Linked DNA regions of Arabidopsis thaliana. The protein of the gene in region 1 interacts with the protein of each later gene in a pairwise test. Each region holds a gene or a part of one and is shown on either strand. Other genes may lie near its edges. The genes, in order: GIP1, GBF1 and bZIP16.

Region 1 (5,500 bases):
TAGCATAACATGCAATGACAGTGGGGAGAGTCAGAGAAAAACTAACCAGTGGTCCAGTTGTGTACATGTTTTCCTTCTTTTCTTCCTTGTGAGTAGCATTTATGGTGGCTGCTGATGGGATGTGGTTGAAGGCGTATGAAGTATATGAGAATGGAATCGTGGTAGGTGGAGAGTTTCCAATGTCGCTTCCGGGTTTGATGTGAGTGAGAGGTAGTTCAGCCCCTGGAGGTGCTGGAGCATCATCTCCGGGTGGTAAGTAAGACTGTTGTTGGAACCCATTTGGGCTCAAGTACTGGTGAATGTATGGTTGCGGCATATAATAAGGGGGGAAATATGGACCATAAGGGAAATAGTTAAGAGAGTATTGTTGCCTATAAAGGTGCATTGCCTGTTGAGCGGCTGCTAAGGAATACTGATCAGGATAGGAGATAGGTGGAGCATCACACTTTGCAGCCTGCAATTATCAACAAAATATAAAAGACAGTGATTAAGCATTGTGTTCATATTTCCTGGCTAGAAAAACCACGCGGTTGGCCTGATGCTGACAATGAATGCACAAGACTAAAAAGACATTGTGTGGGGCTTCTTGATAATAACCAACCTGATGAGTGTCTGTGATTGGTAAAACCTCGTTCTTTACTTTATCTCCTTCTGAACCTTCTTCAGGGAGAACAGTTTGATCTGGCTGCAATGTTAACTCGTTCTGAGCTGCTGAATTTGAAATCTCATGATTCTTATCCTGAGAAAAAGTTGATATATCTTTCCTGCAAACCAAGTTTCATATAAAGGTATTCATATCAGAAACTCATTCATCTGAGACTCTAGATCAATTCATGAGAATATTGAAGCAAGTAACACTGTAAGATTTACTCAAAGTAGCTATTAGTCACCAACCTAGCTGATGCGGCTGTCCCATGAGAAGACTCAATATTGGAGTCATCACACCCAATAGTAAACTTGTCAGAAGATGCCTCTCTCACAAAATTAGAATCGAAGCTCCCAAATGTCAGACCATTTTCCAGCATTTTGGCAACCTGAATGTGGACAGGAAATGTTACGTGCGGCCGTTCACCAACATCCGACTTGAGAAGCGACTCATTCTTGCATTTACTGGCTGCAACCTCACTCTTAATGACTGTTCCAAATAAAGCCATACGTCGAATCACATAAGAGGCTGTAATCAAACTCAGGAACAACTTAACAGAATACAGAATGCACTTAAAGCAACATTAGCAGGCAAGTAATTATATGGTATAATTTATACCTCGCTCGGACTGTTGTGGGATCTGAAAAGTTTCAACTACAGCATATTGAGTATCGTTTTCTACAACAGAATCTGATACAGCCACTGATACACTACTTTCTTTAGACTTATCCGGCTCAACAACATCCTTAGAAGAAGAAGTAGCCTTGGAGAGAGGCTGTTCCTCTGTGTCCACCTTGTCCACAGGGGATATGATAGCATCTTGAATTTTCTGGTTACTGATTCCACTTGGAAGACTTATAGGGTTCGGGGCCCTGAAAAAGAATAGAATGCGTTAGGAAGCCCATATCCAAAGAGGGAATTAAAGACATAGACAGAATTAAAAGTATGGATACATTATGGAAGAAGGTTTTGTGTCGTTTCTTGCATTGTTAGGAGCAGACGAAGCAGTTCCAGAACCTCCTATTATGTGATTAGCTCCACTCTGCTTTTTAAAAGCTGCACTTCTTCCATTACTGGCATCTGAATCAACAAAGAGCTTGAATCAAGGAAGGAAATATAGAACACAAGTTTAGAAGTAAAAGAACATAAACCACAATGACCTGTGTAACTTGAAGCAAAGTTCTTCCGTCCAGTCCGGCCCCTTCCTTGTGTATTTGGCACTAAATTCTACAACAGGTAATACACATAAAGGCATAAGAGAAACGAGATGATGTAAGCTAAACAGAGAACTCAAGACCACACTTAAAATGCAAAGTAAGGATTCAAAAGAACATAGGAAAGCTACCTCTTTCTTTCTCTCCCGTTTGCTTCTCACCTCATGAAATGTATCTGAAAGATCAGTAATAATATATGAGTACATGTCTGCTATCAAAGTACATGATTATGTTGATCTTGAAACAGTAGACAGAATCAAAACTTAACCCAGATGCCCAATCTCAATCAAAGCTAAACAGAAATTCCCTTTCCACATTCCAGCTAGATTGGTAAAGATTTAAAACGACAGTTTCTTAGTCATGAACCCAAATTCTACATATTCCATTTCAGTAAAAAAGATTCCTTATTTGAACATCCCCAGACATATTATACCAATTAGAAATCTAAATAAACAAAACATAAGATTCTAAGCATAACACACAGATTCTAAGACAAGACCAAAATCGACAAAGGGCATTAAATAGCAAAATCCAAAACAAAACCCTAGGAGAAGCACACGCTCAATACAACAAAAAGGAAGTAAAAACACTAAAACAAAAACAAATGCTGAAGCTTTCTCAGTAAAACAACCTAAATAGAGAAGCTTCTGAGTGGTCTCATGTGGATCACTGAAACACTCCTTAAAGACAGAGAAGATATCCTCGTCGGAATGTTGTTTACCGGTAACCTCTCTGATGTTTTGAATGGTTTGAAGCAGATCAGCCGGAATAGAAACCCTAGAGCCGCCATCGCCGCTGATCCTGCTCATGTTGGTTACAGAGAGAAAGAGAAGCGGAGGGAGGAGGAGAGAGGAAATATGGGTTGAACATAAAGACTTCGTATATAGTACTATTATTTATTTCCGTACAATCTACCGCTTAATGTCTCTCTCTACGTATATTTATACGCTGACGTCACTGTTTATCAATTTCCTCCTCATTATTTGATTGAGTACTATTATTTATTTCCGTACAATCTACCGCTTAATGTCTCTCTCTACGTATATTTATACGCTGACGTCACTGTTTATCGATTTCCTCCTCATTATTTGATTGTTTTGTACGCGTTTAATGGAAGGAGAGACAACAAAGTTGATATGGCCGAGTTGGTCTAAGGCGCCAGATTAAGGTTCTGGTCCGAAAGGGCGTGGGTTCAAATCCCACTGTCAACAATTTACTTTTTTTTTTTTTGTCTTTTTACAAGAATAGGAAAAATAGACAGCTGTGTAAAAAAATATTAACTTTGTTTTGTTTCCACAAGTCGATGTCCAAATTTAAGAATATATATATATTACACGATTTAGCTATCTCCTCTAATTAGATGAAGAGACATCAGATCTTATCAAAACCCTAGCTTTCGGTGTCTCTCTCGATCCTTTAGCTCAATCGAAAACTGAATTTAGGAGCTGCGATGGGTTCCAGATCTCGTAATGATAATTTCCAGTCCGGCGATGGCGCTAGTCCTGGGTACGTTTACTTCTCCTACCTCTTGCATGTTTGATTCCACAGGATTAAGGGAAATATCTCATAATCTGTTGGCTTTGTAACTCTTTTTATATTGTTGGTTAAGGTTTAATTTATGTTTTGCTTGGAATTTTTGTGTTGCAGGAAAATATTCATTGGAGGATTGCACAAAGACACGACTAATAGTAAGTTTCTTCCTCTTGTTTTGTTCTAGAAATTGCGTTTCTAAGTTTTGTTATGTTATGGATTCTTGTGTGTGTTTCTGATGTTAGACCTGTTGGAATGTTGATTCTACTTGCTCACTTTGGTTTTGATTGCAGCTGTGTTCAATAAGCACTTTGGCAAGTACGGGGAGATTACAGATTCTGTCATTATGCGAGATCGACATACTGGACAACCTAGGGGTTTCGGTTTCATCACCTTCGCTGACCCTTCTGTTGTTGACAAAGTTATCGAAGATACTCATGTCATCAATGGCAAACAGGTCGGCCACTTCTCTTTTCTTCCTTCACTAGCTTATAGTGTTCATTTTTAGTAGGGTGTTGGGTCTTGATCAATACTTTTTTCCTTGTTTTGATGGAACAGGTTGAGATCAAAAGGACTATTCCGAAAGGTGCTGGTGGCAATCAGTCAAAGGACATCAAAACAAAGAAGATTTTCGTTGGTGGTATACCCTCAACGGTTACAGAAGGTAGACCTCCCTCTTGGCATGATATTTTTTTGCTTTCCATGAGAATGCTGGTTTCCTGTCCTTATTGAAGTTGGTTTCTTTTTCTGTTGATCAGATGAACTTAAGGACTTCTTTGCCAAGTATGGGAACGTGGTGGAGCACCAGGTTATTCGAGACCATGAAACAAACAGGTCCAGAGGTTTTGGTTTTGTAATTTTTGATAGCGAAGAAGTCGTAGATGAATTATTGTCCAAAGGAAACATGATCGATATGGCAGACACTCAGGTAAGCTTGTACAAATGGGGATTAGAATTTTGGTTCATGATGACATATTTATCTTGGTTTCAATTTGATATTTTCTCCTTGTTCCTTTCATTATACACGTTTAACTTAGTTAGAATTCTACCCACTAGCTTACCAAATGTAAGGAGCTTGTCACAGTAAGATAGGAAATCCCTGCTATAGTTTGGGTCCTTAGCATAGCTAGGTTAATTAAGTTGCTTTGTTGTAGGTGGAGATCAAGAAAGCTGAACCAAAGAAATCTCTAAACCGTTCACCTCCTTCTTACGGTAGTCACCCTAGAGGTCGTTCTTCTAACGATAGTTATGCAAGTTATGGTGGACCTTACGGAGGTTTTGATGGAGGGTATGGTCATCCTCCAGGTCCCATTAGGTCACATGGAGGTCCTGCTAGTAGATATGCTGGGGGATATGGGTATGGTCGTGGCAGTGTAGGCCCTGAATTTGGAGGAGGTTATAATAATTATGGGGGTGGTAGTTTAGGAGGTTACCGGAATGAACCACCCCTTGGCTATTCTAGTCGTTTTGGACCCTATGGGAGTGGGTTTGGTGGTGAGGGATATGGCCGTGGAGGAGAAGGAGCCTATTTGGGATATCCTCGTGGAGGAGGGGAAGGCTATGGGGGATATGGTGGGCCTGGTTACGGCGGTGCATATGAATCTGGTGGCCCAGGTGGCAGTTATGAAGGAGCAGGTGGTCCATATGGGAGGGGTTATAGTAGCAGTAGTCGATACCATCCGTATGCAAGGTAGGGTCGAGGTAATAGCAATCAGTTGGAGCTATAGAAGCTTCTCTCACAGGTTCCTCTAGATTGTTCCAATTGCTCTAGGTGCATTCTAGAGTTATCATGTAGCGCCAACATCAGGAAGGGTTGCTAAGGACAGGAAGAGCATCAAAAAGCTTTTATTAGTCATCTTTTAGTTGTGTGTTTACCTAATTTAAGTGTTGTCTTATCTCTATAACTTAGATTGTGTTATGTAGACTTTAGCATATTTGGGCTTGGAGTTTGTTTCTCACTGGCACAAGAATGATTTATCATTTGGTAGTCTTGTTAGATGATCAATTACTCGCTTAGCTTAGTTTTCACAATCATACGAATTAGCTTAAGAAGCTCTGCAAAATGTGCACTCATCTATTCTTTAGAGCTCAAGTTGAATGCTTTATGTGG
Region 2 (5,500 bases), on another chromosome or scaffold:
TCGAAGCTAATGAAACGCCATTTTTTGGAGACTATAAAGTCGGAGATGATGGCGATGACTATGATCACTTGTTTTATCCGGTGCCGGAAAATAGTTACATCGATGAAGCGGAATGGATGAGTCTATACATATAAATTACTAGCTTAATGTAATATTATATCAAGTTAGTATCGTGAATTAGGGAAGCATATTTCTAAGTAAATTTACTAGATTATATAACTGTTGCATTTCTAATGTACAAATATATTGACGATGAGTTTCTCGCTAATGTAATTTGGCTATCTTTATGAAAGCAACAATATAAAATTGCTTAAGTAGTTAAAAAAAATTAGCTACTTTGTTGAATTAAATTTCTAAGAAAAATATATATGAATTCGTTAGGATTTAATTATAATAAGTAAACTGTAATTTGGTTTCACTAACGAAAAAAAAAGTGCGGCCATAAAAGCAGTATCGGCTGCAAGATTCGAAAAACCTTTACTTTTAAAATTGTAGAAGACAAAGGACTAGATGACATGCACATGAAGATAAGATGAGCAAATTTGTTAAAACTTTTTATCTCCATGGATAAGAGTTTGCCCGATTTATACAAAAGAGAAGTTCGGATAAAATATAACTAATTCTGGTAAAACATTTTGAGTCAACTTTTATAGATCGGTTGACAACTAATGTGTAAGCTTATATTATGGTTTATACATAATATATTCATCACGTAATCATTATTACTTATTAGTGATCTGATCGCATAATATAAAATGAGAGTATTAGTCATCAAAAGTTACCACGTATCATGCGTTTCTCAAAATGTTAGAAAAAACACATCGTTTTCTAATCAACGGAAAAATCAAAGTGTCTTTGGACAAGATCAGATGTTCTTTTGATTAAAACCTCTTCCAGTAATTGTAAACTGTACAAGTGCATTTTCTGAAAATCAAAGTTTTCTTGGACATGACTAGAGATTCTTTGATTAGAGTCTTCTGGATTTTGATTGACGTTAAGATATTTTTGATTTAGACATATACTAAATCCTAATTAATTAAAATTATAGATCGAAAACATTATGGTCTCGTAAAGTTTAGAAACTATGGACCCACGAAGAAGTGTTTGGCGAATAAGCGAAGGATTTAATTTAGTTTTGGGTATATAGAAAACGAAGTGTAAAGAAAACGTAACGTTATGGCTCTTTCTAAATTGGGTTTGTTTTAAGTACTCGTAACCACTTTCAACACATTCACTGTATATAGTGTGTTGTATTATATTGTTTGAGTCGTCATATGATGAGATTGTATATATATAAAGAAAAGTCTTGGACCTTTTGATATGGTGATCCATCACATCAACTACGTAATGGTAATACTAATGCTCTACGATAGATGCTATATTTACCTAAGAAAACCGATTTTTTAAGAATGCACTGAATTTTGCTATCAATCAGTTAACTATTGATAAGTCATATTTAGATTTTTATTTTGTTTCATTTGTAAACAGAAAATCACAAGACGTTGGAGACATCTTGGCTTGCTCCTGGCACCTATAAAAAAATGTATGTTTGCAATAATATTAGGGACTTATTAAAGTAGGCCCAATGGGCTTAAGATTCCACCAAATTAGCTTGACAAACACTAAGGGCCTGTCTCGGATATTAGTTGTTTTTAATTAGCAATTGAATAAACTGATGCACGTTGACTCTCTTTTTTTCGTCGTCATGTTTGATTTTTTTTTTTTTTTGTCGTCATGTTTGATTAGTTCTTAAATCTTAACGATAAGTTAAATTATCGATTTAATATCAACAACTGTAGCAAATTTTAATATTCTACGTTAAAAAACTTACTACTATTTTTTTTTTTTTTTTCAGTAAAATGACACAAACATGCAAACCTAGAAAATAGCTTTGACTTGGTTAGTTTCTTGTTAAAGAAAAAGATTACAAACAATTAACATAATATATTATGCACTACAACGGGAAACAAAATTAAGAAAAAAGACTCTTTATCTACAAAAAAAAATCATATAAATGTAAAAAGGGTTTTATCATTGACAATTTGACAGTTATCAATTTACATCAAAATATATTTTAAATGTTTTTAATATTCATGTACTTAATTAGATCGCTAATAATGATAATAAATTGAATATCCTTTTTGATTGTAATAAATGAGTAGATGAGTCACACCAACTGTAGCTACCGTGTCAAAACCTTATCCAGTAACACGTGTACAGCTGGACCTCTCATTGTCGCACGTGTCAGATCATCAAACCCTAAAATTAAAATCCCAAAGAAAAAAAAAACTTTCCTCTTTCTTCGCATTCTTCTCCTCCTATCGGACTTTGCCACACCAGATCGGAAAATCCCAATCCTCTTTTCCTTTGTTTTTTTTGCTATCTTCAATCAAAAACTCTCCGACAGATTCAATGAAGCAGCAAAAGAGATAAAACCCTAACAAAAGTAAACAATCGGAGTTTTAATCTTCTTCTTCTTCGGAGCCGGAGTTTTGTCTGATCTGTCGGAGAGGACGTGTCGGCATCTATTAAAATCCTAGCTGGACTTCCACATCACTTTACTCAATTAGAAGCTGGTCTGTTTTCTCTGTTTTTATTCTAACTTTTTCTCTCGTTTAATTTCTCATATGCAAACAAACACCTTTGCATGTAACTGATTCTGTTGTACTTGAATTGAATTCTTTAATCAATTATGCAAACAGAGCTTGTTTTGGAGATGATGATTCACAAGTATGAGATTGTCTTTCTGCTTAAGAATTCGTTGAGTGTTGGTTTCTGAAGTTTGAATTGTGTGTGTGTGTGTGATTTAAAATACTGATGCATGGTTCGAAGCTTAGAGATTTTAGATTGCTATAAATGAAAGCAAAAGAACAGTGCCCTTACTCTTGTTCTGTTTTAAAGTCATTGATTGTTATAATTGAAAGCAAAAGATTTTAGTTTTGATGTTTTATGATTACTATTTATCGTTAAGATTTTTGATTTTTGTTTATAGTTTTGAGTAACACAAGTAAGTAGTAAGCTTATAAAACAATGGGAACGAGCGAAGACAAGATGCCATTTAAGACTACCAAACCAACATCTTCGGCTCAGGTTAATCCTTCTCTTCTCCTTTCTTTTCAACATCTTTGTTCTGTTTTATATTTTAAGGTGTTTGATGTATCTACCTCTCTCTTTTTCAGGAAGTTCCTCCCACACCGTATCCAGATTGGCAAAATTCAATGCAGGTTCGTGTTACATGTACAACTTTGGTCACTATTAGTTTTTATAGTGTAAGTGAATACTTTCTCGAAAACACCGGGACTGCTGAACATAATAGTATATGCTTATTTCTTTAGGCTTATTATGGCGGAGGAGGTACTCCAAATCCTTTTTTCCCATCCCCAGTTGGATCTCCTAGTCCTCACCCCTATATGTGGGGTGCTCAAGTAAGTTTTGTATCGTATAGTTGTTGATATGATTCTATGAAAAAGAAGTTTGCATCTTATTCTTTGGATAACACTAAATGAGTTTCTCTGTTTTGCATTACTTTCAGCACCATATGATGCCGCCTTATGGCACCCCAGTTCCGTACCCAGCAATGTATCCCCCGGGGGCAGTCTATGCTCATCCTAGCATGCCCATGGTAATCTCCATACCATTAATACAACATTAGCTATCGTTGAAAGCTTTTTGCTCTGTTACATGGCAATGCATAGATAAATGAGAAAGTAAAAAACTTGCTCGACATTTCTTTTGTTGTAGCCTCCTAATTCTGGTCCTACCAACAAGGAGCCTGCGAAGGACCAAGCTTCTGGCAAGAAGTCAAAGGGGAACTCGAAAAAAAAGGCTGAAGGAGGTGATAAAGCGCTCTCTGGTTCAGGGAACGATGGTGCCTCTCATAGGTGATTTTTATAACACTCTACTCAACGTGGTGCTTGTTCAGTTTGATTGCAGTGTCATATGTAATTATGATTTTTCCGTTGTGCAGTGATGAAAGTGTCACAGCGGGTTCATCTGATGAAAATGATGAGAATGCCAATCAACAGGTACTGTTATGTGTTTGAAGTGTTCTCTGTTGCTACAATACTTTGTGATGTGCTTCATTGAGATTCATGTTAATGTAGGAACAGGGTTCAATTCGAAAGCCAAGCTTTGGACAGATGCTTGCTGACGGTATGCTTTTGACCGCTGCAGTTTTCATGGTTTTTCTTTGCATGTATTTTCCATGTTTCTTGACTTGGTAAAGTTTCCTTGAACAGCAAGTTCTCAAAGTACGACTGGTGAAATCCAAGGTTCGGTGCCCATGAAGCCGGTAGCCCCGGGGACTAATCTGAATATCGGGATGGACTTATGGTCTTCCCAAGCTGGTGTACCAGTGAAGGTGTGACCAACTCCTCATTTCACCCTGCAAGGTTGCTTTTCCGAATTCGTTACATTCTTCCTTACAAAATCCTCTGATTACTCAACAGGATGAACGAGAGCTCAAGCGGCAGAAGAGGAAACAATCTAACCGTGAATCCGCTAGGCGGTCTAGATTGCGGAAGCAGGTAATATGCATTTGTGTGTTAGTATCATTTTACTCTGTCTGCTTCTTGTAATTTACTCATTCCATAATAAACCATTTCGAATAGGCCGAATGCGAACAACTTCAACAAAGAGTAGAGAGTTTGTCGAACGAGAATCAAAGCCTGAGAGATGAGCTACAGAGACTCTCAAGCGAATGTGATAAGCTCAAGTCTGAGAACAACTCAATCCAGGTGACAAACTCTTTATCCGGAAAAATTTCTGCGAAAATCATACTCTTTCCAACTTTTATCTTATTTCTATCGGCTTGCATTTACACTAGAGTCATGGAATAATGCAGGATGAGTTGCAGAGAGTACTTGGAGCAGAGGCTGTAGCTAATCTAGAACAGAATGCTGCTGGGTCGAAAGATGGTGAAGGAACAAATTAACACTTAGGAAAATTGGAACTTTACAACGGATTATTGGGATTTTTCAACACCGGATAAAAAAAACTGAGTCCAAAGTCATTTGAGATTACGTAACTATACAATCGTTTGACATTTTTGTGTAATAGAGATTTGACCTACAAGACTGTAGAAGCTGCAAAAGCTACGATTACACTTTGTTTTATTAGTCTTCGTGATTGGAATCGGATTCTGAATCCGAGTTTGTTTCTGAAACGGGGCTACCATTTGCTATTTCTCCTAGTCGTGGTGCATCCTCGTTGACTGTTGGAACAACACAGCAAGTACAAATAAAATAGTCAGTTCAATACCCTGATAGCAAAGTATTACACTAAAGATAGAAAATTAGAGTTCCGAAACAAACCTGATCCCAAGATTTTGGCAATCATTGCTCGGACAAACCGTATTTCTCCTTGGTGTGACCTAACGACCTTCACCTGCAGTTTTTTGTTTTGTTTTAAAGCGTTAGTTAAAAGTGACTGAAGAATAAGGGAGTTCAAAAGAAAGCAATCGTGTACCATTTCCCCATATACACCATCCACAAGTTGGTCC
Region 3 (5,500 bases), on another chromosome or scaffold:
GTTCTCTATCGTCCTAATTGCAAGACAAACAAATCTGAGTTTGAGGATAAAAGGCGATTTAAATCTGCCTAAGAAAGGTGGGCACACCTGTAACCAGGGTTGTGAATGGCCACCATCTCGCGAGCCTGGAGCAACAACTCCAGGAACTGGTGTAGATACTTTCCCATGCATTCCAGGGATACCAGCTGAAGTTGGAGCACCCCAGTAATCCATCCCAATATTTAAATTTGTTGGTGGGCCAGGAACACCTGCAGCTGTCATTGGCATGATTGGTACGGTCTGGCTCACCGGTAGAATAGGTGTACCAGCACTTCCATTTTGCGGACCATTGGCAGAACCACCATTCTCTGATGCTGCTTCAGCTGAATGGAAAAACAATAAAGAACTCTCTGATAAGTAGCTTTCACGGTGTTAGCCGCATGATAGTAACGAAAGGAAAAAGAAAAGATCGTAAACCAACCATCCTTTCCATCTAGTCCAGATCCCGAATCCTACATGAATTGCAAGCAAATCAGAATCAGTCATAATTACTGTAAGAACTCCTCACTCCCATAGAAAGACGGAAATAACATTAAGACTTTTCGAGCCCAAAGATCCAACAAAAACGTTTGATGAGGCGACATATGGAACGCAAAGGTTATGTGTTCCAGTGTGCAGATTCCAAGTGTTAGCAACACTCATAAAATTTAAATGAGAAATTCCAAGGGACTGACAGATCTGAATAGGTCAATCCAAATTCAGATTCATGCTAGATTCTTAGCAAACAAACTAGGTGTTCCCCATGAAACAGCGCCTCATCACAACATGGTTGCCAGAATGAATGCATACCAACAAAGATATAATTCAAATGAAAAGGCTGATGATAGCTATCCGAAACTTACATTTTGAGAGTTCCCATCACTTCCTTCACTTGAACCATCAGAAGCACTCTCCCCACTGTAACCAAACAATTCTGACAATCTCAGAGCAATAATAGAATGAATATTATCTAATGAAGTAGCATAAGTCCAAAAGGGGTCCTAGTCCAAACATAATAATATTTCCAAGATAACAACCATGCATACATGCCACGTCACATAGACCGGATAAAAACAAGCGTGTTACATGCCTTTTGGAGTAAGCTCCATTAGCTGATGCTCCTGAGTTTTTCCCAGGTTCATTGTTCTTTCCTGTAATCATGTTCAAACTTCCCAAGCTTCCTCTTGATCTTTTGATGGGCAATTTTTCCTTCACTTCAGATTGTTTAGCATCACCATCAGTGCCGCCTGTAGTATTGCCCTGCATAAAATCATCTCTCAATTATGTTCCTACAATAAGCAAAGGTAGCAAAGACCGTTTGAGAAAGAACGAATGAAGTATGATGGGACGCTAACTCACAGAAACTTCAGTCATTCCATTTGGAGAAGGCATAGCATAAGGGCTATAGGGATAAGAACCCTGATACAGAATGGAACATATTAAAGATATAATTAACAGCTACATTTTAATTTATGTTCACTGCAATTGAATCTACTACAGTTGGCAGTACCGGAGGCATTGAAGGATGTGCGTACATGCCACCTGGGGGATACATTGCAACATAAGGATGAGGCGGAGTTCCATAAGGAGGCATCATATGCTGCAAAATTTAATGTCTCATTCAGTAATCAATCAAAGATATGATGAAAGACAGCTGAACGAATTCGTTATAAGTCAATAAGAATGTTGCAATTTTCCAGCACTCTGAACACCGATAGACATCACAGTAAAAAGCGATAAAGCGTAAGCCAGTTCACCTGAACTCCCCACATATAAGGGTGAGGTTGGGGACTAGATGCCACATAACCATGAGGCGGCGGCATAGGAGAATATGCCTGTCGAAAAGAAAGCCGTAAAGATCAAATGCAACAAGAAAAGAGAGCGCAGATCCATAGATGGAGGAATCTGTCCTAACCTGAAAACCAGACCAATCTGGAGTAGCCATGCCAGCACTCACAGCCGATGAAGGTTCCTACAAACACAGAAATATTCCAACTAAAGCATATCACTGATAGGTATACAAAATCACAATTAGCTGAAATCTAGAATATTTTTATTTTCCTTTCTAGTATCTCACTTCTAATTCGGCTTCTAATAGCTTAAATCATGGGATTTGTTTTCCCTTTTTACATTATGGTCCTCTTAAGAAAATTGGAAGCAGAGAAGGGCAAACACAAACCTGTGAAGAGGGAGGGGCAGTAGAAGAAGGAGGAGGTGTTTTAGGTTCCTTCTCTTTACTCGATTTTTCCATCTCATTGCTAGCCATTATCACGTTCACTAATTCCTAAAACAACTCGTGATTGCTTCCTGCAAGACGAAGTCAGCTATAAGCTAACTCACTACGAGATCTACTCATGCATAAACTCAACACATCCAACAATTCAACATTTCAGCTAATAAGATGTTAGAGATTTCGTTCCAAACTTCTCCTATTGATCGTTGACCAATACAGCTATATATATATATATATATATATATTGATAATCCAACAACAGCTTAAAGGTCTAGTCTTTTTCTCAAGATGCAGAAACAGGTAAATAACAATGTCGGACCGGAGAAACACAATAACACAAAACCGAGAAGTATATATAGAAACCCTCGAAAAGCCCTAGAAAACTCAATCGAATTCAGAAGAGAAACGCTAAAATCTAACCCCAAAGATACAAACTTGGAGAGATGTGAACAGAAATACCTAACGACTGGTAATATTTGGAACCCCTCTGAGCACAATTTCAGATGCGGTGTGAATCTCTGAGCTTAATTTTGCAGAAATTTAAGAGAATCAATGTCTCTTGACCAAGATAAATAAATTTGCTTGATTTGTTTTTTGTTATCTGACGGAGAAGAAAGGGGGCGTGGAGTTCACGAGGAATAAAAATTGCTTCTTTGCCCAAATTTAAGTATTTTTATTAAAAGCCCTTCTTTATAACTTATTTATGAACTTTACCCATTTAAAGCCTTACAATAATTTGTAACCCACCCAAAATGTCACAATTTGATAAGGAAAAAAGTTTCTCCCCAATTGAAAAGGAAGATCTTTAAAATCAAAATTGACATAAATATATGGAAAAAGTGTCTTTGCAAAAGTATATTTTAAATGTTATGAATAGGTTTATGTATACAATACACATTGATAGAATGATAGTGCATTGACTCATTGGTAATGTTACATGTCATCAAAAACAATAAATGACTTTATGACAAAATAGTTAGGAACACTAACAAAAAAAACTATTGGGCAGAAAAGAGATTCTTAATAAATAAGAGGGTGATAAAGAAAATAATAAAAAGACTAGGGTGAGTGAATTCAAGGGAATAGAAAAAGCAGAGCTCTCTCTCTCTTTTTAGCCCTCTCTTTCAAAGTTGAAGTTTTTGAAGGCGTCTCCGGCTACACAGCAATGGCTTCTGGATCAGACTCAGAAGTAGAAAAGGAATCCATACACCACAAAGCACTAGCGGAATCGAGTTTCAATTGCGGTGATTTGATGTCGGCCTTAACTCACGCGCGGAAAGCTCTCAGCTTGTCTCCGAACACGGAAGGTTTATCCGCCATGGTCACCGCTTTCGAGATCATCAGCTCCGCCGCCACAGTCGCCGGAGGTTTTCCGGAATGGTACAAGGTTCTAAAGGTAGAGCCTTTTTCTCATATTAATACCATAAAACAACAGTATAGGAAGCTAGCTTTGGTGTTGCATCCTGATAAGAATCCGTATGTGGGGTGTGAGGAGGGGTTCAAACTTTTGAATGAGGCCTTTAGGGTTTTCTCTGATAAGGTTAGGAGGACTGAGTATGATATGAAGTTGAGGATTAGGATTCAGGGGGAAATGGTTAGCGGTGGTTCTGGTGGTGATGAAACGTCAACGTTTTCGGCGGTTTGTTCGGGTTGTAGGTCGGTGCATAAGTTTGATAGGAAGTATTTAGGACAAAATTTGATGTGCCCTACTTGCAAGAATAGTTTTGAGGCGAAGGAAGTTGAGAAGGAAGAAGAGGGTAGAGAAAATGGAGCTTGTACTTCCAAGATCATAACATATAGTAGGAGGAAGAGGCCTGTTGATAGCGATGGTGAAAGTCTGATAAAAGAAGTTGAGACAGGGGAGATGAGTCAGGAAGCAGCAGAAGCTATTAATGTATTTGAGGGGTCGGATGAAGAGGATGAAGGGATGATGACTTTGGCAGAAATGCAAGCGGTGATAAAGAGAAATAAGTCGAAGGTGAATTCGAAGATCACTGAGAAAGATAGCAGTGGAGAAGAAAACATGGGAAGGGAAACGCAGAAGAGATCTTTAGCTGATGCCTCCATGACTGAAACGTTAAGGGAGATGAGTACTAACGCAGTGAATAATAAACAAGAAGTTTTAAAGAATAGGAAGAATATAAAGAAGAAGAAGATGGCGAACCACAAGGATTTAACTGAGATAGTGGATTTAGAATACGTGCCTCGGGTTGATAGGAAGAGGGATCGTGGTAAGTTAAGCCAAGAAATGTATATGGAAGACGAGGATTTTGAACTGTATGATTTTGATAAGGACCGGATGCCGAGGAGCTTCAAGAAAGGGCAGATTTGGGCGATATATGATGGTGGTGATGACAAAATGCCTCGGAGTTACTGTTTAGTTAGTGAAGTAGTCTCTTTGAATCCTTTTAAGGTATGGATCAGCTGGTTGGATTTTGAGAGCGAGAAACTAATCTCTTGGATGAAGATTAGTTCTTCTCATATGCCTTGTGGTAGGTTCCGGGTTTCAGAGAAAGCTTTGATAGAACAAGTGAAACCATTCTCTCACCTTGTCAACTGCGAAAGGGCTGCACGAGAAATATACCAAATATATCCAAAGAAAGGCTCGGTTTGGGCAGTCTACTCAGAGACAAATCCAGGTCTTCAGAGAAGAAAGACCAGACGCTATGAGATTGTCGTATGCTTGACAATGTATACTGATGCATATGGATTAAGTGTAGCATATTTGGAGAAGGTTAACGACTATAGCAACCTGTTCAAGAGACGGGATTACGGGTATAATGCAGTCAGGTGGGTCGAGAAAGAAGATGTTGCAGCCTTGCTCTCTCATCAGATTCCGGCCAAGAAGCTGCCTGAAGATGAATCTGGAGCTGATCTGAAAGAGTCTTGGGTGCTTGATCTTGCTTCTGTTCCTCCTGATTTGGTTTCTGCCACTTAGTGAACATAGACACTTCTTTGTTTTCTGTTTCTCATCATCTCATGACAAAGAGAAACAAGCACTTCATGTCTATATTTGTCTAACTTAATCATATTAGTTTAGATCAACTATATTTAGTGCCCAAACCCAAAGTCCAAAGACTTTCCCACAAGTTTATAAATTGCATAGATAAGTTAAATATTGTGTTATATTACCAAATCTTAGTGGCAAAAAAATAAATTTTCAAAGTTTAATTATCTAATTGACTAATTGTAAACTTAAGAATTTTATATTGTTTAAAATATATGCATAAATTTCGCGTGGGGCAAAAA

Evidence for each region.
Region 2: the proteins of GIP1 (region 1) and GBF1 interact in a two-hybrid assay, tested with the Arabidopsis thaliana proteins (one study listed by BioGRID).
Region 3: the proteins of GIP1 (region 1) and bZIP16 interact in a two-hybrid assay, tested with the Arabidopsis thaliana proteins (one study listed by BioGRID).

Annotation. Positions count from the first base shown.
Region 1 is NC_003074.8:4,251,538-4,257,037, forward strand, and holds the start of GIP1 (GBF-interacting protein 1), read right to left. Parts: upstream 2,742-5,500; 5' UTR 2,670-2,741; coding exon 2,492-2,669; intron 2,036-2,491; coding exon 1,992-2,035; intron 1,874-1,991; coding exon 1,807-1,873; intron 1,727-1,806; coding exon 1,600-1,726; intron 1,519-1,599; coding exon 1,265-1,518; intron 1,136-1,264; coding exon 895-1,135; intron 765-894; coding exon 602-764; intron 455-601; coding exon 47-454; intron 1-46. Other genes in the region: AT3G13224 (RNA-binding (RRM/RBD/RNP motifs) family protein), read left to right, coding at 3,311-3,366, 3,508-3,548, 3,684-3,847, 3,949-4,054, 4,149-4,318, 4,545-5,084. UniProt on the Arabidopsis thaliana protein: Plant specific protein that enhances G-box-binding factor (GBF) DNA binding activity. May function as a nuclear chaperone or lever and regulate the multimeric state of GBFs. May contribute to bZIP-mediated gene regulation.
Region 2 is NC_003075.7:17,309,283-17,314,782, reverse strand, and holds GBF1 (G-box binding factor 1), read left to right. Parts: upstream 1-2,294; 5' UTR 2,295-2,576; exon of another isoform or gene 2,577-2,992; 5' UTR 2,993-3,030; coding exon 3,031-3,090; intron 3,091-3,179; coding exon 3,180-3,224; intron 3,225-3,335; coding exon 3,336-3,425; intron 3,426-3,532; coding exon 3,533-3,622; intron 3,623-3,741; coding exon 3,742-3,881; intron 3,882-3,967; coding exon 3,968-4,025; intron 4,026-4,103; coding exon 4,104-4,152; intron 4,153-4,238; coding exon 4,239-4,360; intron 4,361-4,448; coding exon 4,449-4,526; intron 4,527-4,610; coding exon 4,611-4,736; intron 4,737-4,843; coding exon 4,844-4,933; 3' UTR 4,934-5,114; downstream 5,115-5,500. Other genes in the region: HB40 (homeobox protein 40), read left to right, coding at 1-134; HVA22K (HVA22-like protein K), read right to left, coding at 5,115-5,212, 5,313-5,385, 5,467-5,500. UniProt on the Arabidopsis thaliana protein: Binds to the G-box motif (5'-CCACGTGG-3') of the rbcS-1A gene promoter. G-box and G-box-like motifs are cis-acting elements defined in promoters of certain plant genes which are regulated by such diverse stimuli as light-induction or hormone control.
Region 3 is NC_003071.7:14,923,742-14,929,241, forward strand, and holds the start of bZIP16 (basic region/leucine zipper transcription factor 16), read right to left. Parts: upstream 2,869-5,500; 5' UTR 2,711-2,868; intron 2,326-2,710; 5' UTR 2,285-2,325; coding exon 2,198-2,284; intron 1,991-2,197; coding exon 1,934-1,990; intron 1,854-1,933; coding exon 1,776-1,853; intron 1,619-1,775; coding exon 1,529-1,618; intron 1,438-1,528; coding exon 1,378-1,437; intron 1,279-1,377; coding exon 1,109-1,278; intron 937-1,108; coding exon 882-936; intron 492-881; coding exon 461-491; intron 363-460; coding exon 88-362; intron 14-87; coding exon 1-13. Other genes in the region: AT2G35540 (DNAJ heat shock N-terminal domain-containing protein), read left to right, coding at 3,417-5,189. UniProt on the Arabidopsis thaliana protein: Transcriptional activator that binds to the G-box motif (5'-CACGTG-3') and other cis-acting elements with 5'-ACGT-3' core, such as Hex, C-box and as-1 motifs.